Linked DNA regions of Schizosaccharomyces pombe. The protein of the gene in region 2 interacts with the protein of the main gene of each other region in a pairwise test. Each region holds a gene or a part of one and is shown on either strand. Other genes may lie near its edges.

Region 1 (3,802 bases), 1.0 Mb from region 2:
GCTGAAGGTGTTTTGAAGTTTGTTAAATCCGACAAATTCTCTGACGATCCTATTCGTATTGTTCGTGATATCGCAGATGTTATTGAAGACAATATGGATGGTACATCTGGTGCTTTGTACGCCATTTTCTTCCATGGCTTTGCGAAGGGCATGAAAGACACCTTGGAGAAGAGCAAGGACATTTCATCTAAGACATGGGCTGCTGGTTTGAAGGTTGCTCTTGATACTCTTTTCAAGTATACTCCCGCTCGTCCTGGTGACAGCACTATGTGTGATGCTCTTGTTCCATTTGTCGAAACATTTGTTAAAACTAATGATCTTAATGCTGCCGTAGAGGAGGCTCGTAAAGGTGCTGATGCTACTGCAGATATGCAAGCCAAACTTGGACGTGCTGTCTACGTTGGTGATGATGTTAAAGTTCCCGATGCCGGCGCTCTTGGTGTCGTTGCAATTGTCGAAGGATTTACGAAATAATTGGATACGAAATTTTTTTGGGATTGTAGAATTGGTATGATCTTAAAAACTATTTACGAGCACGAATAACAATTATATTTTCATTATGCATGCATTAATTATTGCTTACTTATCTTTGCATCTGTATTTGTATATTCATGCATTATAATAAGTAATTTTTTAATTAAAACAGTTGAGAAAGGACGAGTGTAGATATTGTATGAACACGCTGCTGTAATAAATAAAAGAACGACAGAAATTGTATGGGAATATTAGACACAGGCATTAAAGAAGAAACAATACACTTTATTCAGAAATGGTCCCTCCTAGATAAGGGCAAACCATTTTTGAATTAAACCCAATTGGACAAGAATTGTTAAATAGACTGTGCATATTATTCAAATTTTTTTTTCTGAATCTCGTTAGAGCTTTTTAATAAGGTCTTTACAGTACTTTATTTGCTCTTCATCAGACATGAATTCGCAATTTCTGATAGCTGTACAAATGAGGACCGTAGTAGAAAGATTTTCAGAATTGACCCAAACGCGACCATTCATTCCAACAGCAATTTCGAAAGGAATGTAGCTTCCTAGGGTCTGTAAAAGTGTATTTTTAGGAAGGATCAACTTCCTACAATGAGATAAAGATAAACCTGTTATCATATAACCGTTTTTAAGTTCACCATATCCTGCAGCTTTCCCTGTGGTAGCATCGAAACATTCTAACTCCGGTTCCATATCACGATCAGCGAGTGATACTCGAGCATACACAAGGCTTCCAACATTTAAATTGGGCCTACTTTTACGAGTCACATTTTCAAAAGCCAATGCATTCAATTGAGCAATATGAGCTGACCCAATATCTACTCGATAACCTTCCGCAAATCTAGAAATAATTTGCCCAATAACTTGATCATTTGTAGCAGGAATATATCTTTTTGTCCGTGAGTCTATCAACATAGCATTTTTTCCAGTTTGATGCAACCTCCCAGCTTTTGAGACCACTATTTCTTCTTCACGGTCTTTCTTTTGAAAGACTAAACCAGGACCTAAACGAATTGATCCATCCTGACTAATTATGGAGTCTGGTATCCGCTCACCAGGAAAGTAATAAGATAACAGACCTTTTTCTTCAACTTCAGCCATTTGGTTAACAGAAGAAAATTAGCTATTTGGGGTTTGATTTTTCGCGAGTTATACACTATAATTCGAGGATTAATGTCTTGGACGGTAAGTGTGTCTAAACTAATACTGTAAATCTCGTTAATTTTATAAATCACATTAGCCCAGACTGTGAAAAATAACGCAAACGTACATTGTGCTATAATGCTGTTTACGAGGATTTTCTGTATGTATGTCGTTAATAGGGATATCGAATTTAATCACATCGTAAGCAGACGTAGTTGTATTTGTATCATCTCAGTACGCGCTCTCATCTAACAAATGCACATAGTAAACACATGTTTGGATGACACTTACTCATCATTCCACGTTCATAAAAGGGATAGAGGGTTCTGCTGAAGGAGAGATAGAAGATGTAAGGCAAACTACTGTTTTTGATCCTCCGTTTTACGGACATCCGATGTTGGTTCCACCGTCGCCATCTTTGACTACGATGTTTCGAACGAGGTCTACAACGCCTGATGAAGAGGGAACTGCCATTGCAGAAATTGATCAACAAGATTGGGATATAATGGTAAAAGTTCCTACTTATGAGTATTACGGGTTCGTGATGTATTTGGTGTCAATGTTGGGGTTCGGCGTGTATATTGTTTGGGCTCTGACGCCTGCGCCTGTTCTCAAATTTTTTGAGATTCATTATTATCTATCTCGTTGGTGGGCTCTAGCTATTCCTACTTGGTTATTTGTTCTTGTTATTTACATTCACGTTGTGCTAAACGCTTACAATACCGAAGTATTGACTAAGCCATTTAGCAGCTTAGAATGTATCGTTGATCAATACGCACTCGTTGGTGAAGAAGATGGTGCTGCTCATGGTCGAGTTGTTGATCTTCGCCTATGTGATGTGAATAAACAACAACTGGAAGAAACTTAAAAAAGACTAAAAGCAGCTAAGTGATATCAGAATTCATTTTCTCCTTAAAAATCTTCATTATTTAAGGGACTTATTATCTATTGATGTCGTCGACCCATACAGATTTACTTTTAAATCCTGGTTTCCTTAAGTTTCACAATCAAAAAGTATATGTAAATGTATAATATTATAAGAAGGTTGATTAATGCTCTAGTCCTACTACTCCAACCTGCATACTCAAGATTAGATGTTTTTTATATTCCGCTAATAATATACCTAAGAGTTGTTCGTAAACAAAATGTTTTCAGACAAATAATTAGCTATACGAACAAAACACACCAAAACAAGTAAATGAATAGAAGAGAAGTAAAAACAGTATATCTCTTTTTAATAGTTTGACGAGAGTCGTTATTCCCAGTCATCATCGTCTTCATCATCGTCATCAACTTTTCTATTTGCTTCATCCTTCACCTCAAGAGAACTTTGAGAAGCTTCTATATTACTGGAAGATGATACTTTATTTTCCTCTTCTTCTTTAACTTCTCCATCAACCTCTCCATCATGGCTTGCGGGTTGAGTTTCAATTTGTAAGCCTTTTGAAACTGCTGACTCCAAATCATTGACGGTTTCATCTATCACTTCAGCTGCTGAATTATTCTCAGTAGTATCTTCTTCACTTGATTGCTTTTTTTCATCATTAACCTGTTCATTGTCACTTTCTTCTTCATCACTTCTTTCATCTCCCCAACTAAAAATTTCTTCTTCATCGTTTCCTGATTGAATTGCCTTTATCGGCTGTACAACCTCTTTATGCCAAAAAAATCGTTTCCAAAAATCATCATAAGAAACTTCAGAAGGTACTAAAGATTCCATCTGTTTCCTTAAATCAGGATATTCTTCCAAAAGTAAAGAGATCTCTTCAGTTTTCCCATCAATGGAAATTTCTTTTTCCCAGCTTTCAAACGTGATCCCATGAGAGGGTTCAGAGATAATTTGGGTAAAAGTATTTTCGTTTTGAACAAGTTCCAACAACTGTCTCTCGTGGCGATTTAAGAAAACAGACGAAGAGGCTTCGTGTGTAGGAGTCGATACATCGTCTTCTTTGGGTGATATCTGCAATGCTTGATCCAAAAAACCATTCACTGTAGATCCGAAGCCACTCCAGAAACTTCCTGCTGTTTCTTCTACTTTTCGCAAGTTTTCCATAGCAGAATTAACAGGTATATTTTCTTCAAGCTGTGATTTTAATTGCTGCATTCCACTTGAGGCTTTTCCCTTTGTATCATCAAGAAAGTTTTCACTCTTTGAACGGTTA
Region 2 (3,673 bases):
AAGCAGCTGCCAAAATTACGACATTTTTTGTGCCAGCAGTAAAAGGTTCTAAAGTCGTAGAGTCACAGATTTCCAGTTGATCGGGAATGAATCTACAACGTGATAGCTCAGTATTAGTTTCTGCAATCAACTTCTCTAAGTCGCCATTGCCATTACTCAACTCTTGGGCTAATTTTTTCAAAATTTTATATAAATTGGGAGCGATTTTTCTCTCTTCGGAAGTTAAGTAGCCATTTCGAGAACTAAGTGCAAGTCCATCATCTGCGCGCACAATTGGCACTTGAATTATTTCAATAAAGAAATTCAAATCGCGGACCATTTTTTTAATGATGGCTACTTGTTGAAAATCCTTTTCACCAAAGCAGGCTACGTCCGGATTTACGATGTGAAAAAGCTTGCTAACCACTGTAGTAACGCCACGAAAATGGCCTGGTCGACTCGCACCTTCAAGCATGGTGGACAGCTTAGGGACGTCGACAAAAGTAATGTCTTGAGACCCTTCCGGATATAACTCCTCAACAGTTGGAGCATAAACCAGATCGACTCCCAGGTTTTGCAGCTGAGAGCAATCTTGGTCCATGGTTCGAGGATACAAGAGTAGGTCTTGTGGATTATTGAATTGCATTGGATTTACGAAAATACTGACAACAACCTTTTCGGCATGTCTTTTGGCTTCACGAACTAGAGAAAAATGCCCTTCATGGAGATTTCCCATGGTGGGAACAAAAGCAATTCGATTTCCATCTTTTCGCCAATTATCTACTTGCTGATGAATCAGGAGCTTCTCTTTAAGAACCTGCATGCTCAAAATATCCAGAAATTTTGTATTTTATTTATTGGAAACTGTGTTCTTCAGCAGGGTATAGACCTTGTTCTACTTCGTAGATGTAACGTTGGATAGCCGTGCGAATGTCCCCAGCCCCGGACAAAAAATTCTTAGCAAATTTGGGTGGGCGGCCTCCAGTAATTCCTAAAGCATCATGCATGACAAGTATTTGGCCATCAGTATGCTTTCCGGCTCCTATCCCGATAGTGGGTATGGATATAGTTTTAGTGATTTGTTCAGCTAGTGACTCTGGAATACATTCTAAGACGAGCAGCTGCGCACCAAACTTTTCCAACTGTTGTGCATTTTCAATTAAGCGTGCTGCTGCAGACTGTTCCCTACCCTGTATTTTATAACCTCCAAAAATGTTTACAGACTGAGGAGTCAGGCCAAGGTGTCCAGCAACAGGGACTGATCGTTCTGTAAGTCTTTGTACAATTTCAAAAATCCAATTCCCTCCTCCTTCTATTTTAACTATATTTGCACCTGCACGCATTACAGTAGCCGCATTTTTACAAGCATCCTCCCATGTACTGTAACTCATAAATGGAAGGTCAGCCATCAAGAGGCGATTAGGGGCACCTCTTCGAACACTTTTTGTATGATATGCTATGTCTTCTACTGACACTGGTAATGTAGTACTATGACCTTGAGCAGTCATTCCAAGGGAGTCACCGACGAGCATTACAGGCATCCCCTGTTCTGCGAAAAGTCGTGAAAAACTGGCATCATATGCTGTAATACAAGCGAATTTTTTATTTGCTAGTTTCCATTGACGAAGAGTGGATATAGTTATTTGCTTTAATGACATTTTTTGTTATTCCTTTTCATAAGGTGGTACGTCTGTAAAACAAGTCTAGCACAATTCAACCCAGATATTTTCTAATATGTTAAAAACAAGTAATGCATATTAAAAAATGGACTCTTTACTTTAAAAATAATAATACTTATAAGAGAAATTCTTGCTTAGGAAACCTCTTGCTCACATACTTTGAATATGTCTATGAAAAAGTAAAAATCACTGTGATCCTCCAGTTAAAGCATTTAACATACATGGTTACTCTGGTTTATTTACATACGATTCATATAACCTACAAAGAATTACAACCTTTGAAATTCGTTTGTCCAATTGCAACGGATTTTTATTCGCAAACTAAAATAGCTACCTGTTTAAAAACAACTATTTTAATATTTGAATAGATATCCCATTTGATAGTGGTCGTTCCTAAAACAAAGTCATTATTTTCGCAAATTTTTTAAGATATCAATGTTTAGTAACACAAGCAACTTATTTTACTGCTCTCTTGTTACTCATATTCATGTCGAATGTATAACATTTTTAAGTACAAAAATCATTGAAATTGCTAATTTTCCGTTTGTATACCAAAAAACGGCTTGAAACAACTTTGGAGTATTTTCGCATCAATCCACTTTGCAATAATCCCTCTATTTGAATTGTGCTAGTGTGTTTCATAGTCATACAGAAATATGTTGATCAGCTTCATGTCTGTAAACTCATTATTTGAATTCTTATGATGAATCGTCAGTTGGTAAACACAACTGCGAAATACCGATATTGGAGATCATTGACAAAAGGCTAAGCTGACAAGTATCTGTAAATGAAAAAATTTAGGCGCATTCTCGATTTTTCTGTATTCCTTCAAGGTCAATCAATCCAATTGTTTTAATCATTTCCCAATCTCACTCCTGCGAATAATATAGTAGTGCTATTGGTGCGGCTGCATGCCTATTGATTGATCCACGCACGTGGTAACTCTGCTACAGGGCTACAAGTCCGTTCATCTATTTCAATTCCTCCTAAACTTCATACACAAAAAGATTTATAAGATCTTCACTTCTTTTGTGAAGTTTTCAATTTTATTATTTTCCTTTTGATATTCAAGGTATTTTCGTCTTTAGCGCTACCTAATAAATTTTTTTTGATCAAAATTCTCCATCAGGTCTGCTCTTTTCTTTGATACACACCAGGATGGCTGTTCAAAAGTTATATGAATCGCAGAGTAAATTGTTTCAGCCCATTAAGGTTGGTAACATGCAACTTCAACATCGAATGGTTCACGCACCGGCTACCCGTCTACGATGCTTAGATAATGGCCTTGTAATGACAGATCTTGTGAAGGAATACTACAAGCAACGCAGTTCGATTCCTGGCACATTACTCATTACAGAATCATTATTTTCAGGCGCAAAGTCGGGAGGCTTTAGTAATATCCCTTGCTTGTACAACGATGAACATGTAGAAGCTTGGAAACCAATTGTACAGGCGATCCATGACAATGATTGCTTTGTGTTTATACAGTTTTGGAACCTTCCTGGAGAGCTAAAGGTCGATTATCTTGAAGATCAGGAAAGGTTGGAAAAAGTTACACAAGGGGAATGCCCAATGGATCCTACCGGATTGCCTGCTGCTCTAGGCAGTGCCTACTCTATTTGTGGAGAGGAGCTGTATGTCGATAAATTTATGACAAAACAAGATATACAGGAACACATCACAACGTATACTGAAGCAGCGAAACGAGCTGTTTTCGGTTGTGGTGCAGATGGTGTTGAAGTTCATCAAGTGAATGGATTTCTTTTGGACAAATTTGTACTAAACGGCTATGGTGACAAATGTGATCCGGAATATTGTGGGTCTTTAGAAAATCGTGCTAGATTTTGCCTTGAACTTCTAGAGTCTGTCGTGAATGCCATAGGTCAAGAGCGCGTTGGATATAGGATTTCTCCGTTTTCAGATATTTGGAAAGACAAGGATTCTTTTGAGGCACACGTGTTTATGATAAAAAAAATAAAGGAGAGGTTTCCTAATTTGGCCTATTTACATGCTAT

What was found.
Region 1: the proteins of ecm31 (region 2) and rrp40 interact in a two-hybrid assay, tested with the Schizosaccharomyces pombe proteins (one large-scale study listed by BioGRID).

Annotation. Positions count from the first base shown.
Region 1 is NC_003424.3:1,178,334-1,182,135, forward strand, and holds rrp40 (exosome subunit Rrp40), read right to left. Parts: upstream 1,608-3,802; 5' UTR 1,599-1,607; coding exon 876-1,598; 3' UTR 523-875; downstream 1-522. Other genes in the region: dihydroxyacetone kinase Dak1, read left to right, coding at 1-474; mug84 (pig-P phosphatidylinositol N-acetylglucosaminyltransferase subunit), read left to right, coding at 1,921-2,508; SPOM_SPAC22A12.14C (BSD domain-containing protein), read right to left, coding at 2,896-3,789. UniProt on the Schizosaccharomyces pombe protein: Non-catalytic component of the RNA exosome complex which has 3'->5' exoribonuclease activity and participates in a multitude of cellular RNA processing and degradation events.
Region 2 is NC_003424.3:160,144-163,816, forward strand, and holds ecm31 (3-methyl-2-oxobutanoatehydroxymethyltransferase), read right to left. Parts: upstream 1,674-3,673; 5' UTR 1,638-1,673; coding exon 834-1,637; downstream 1-833. Other genes in the region: pan6 (pantoate-beta-alanine ligase), read right to left, coding at 1-802; SPOM_SPAC5H10.10 (NADPH dehydrogenase), read left to right, coding at 2,817-3,673.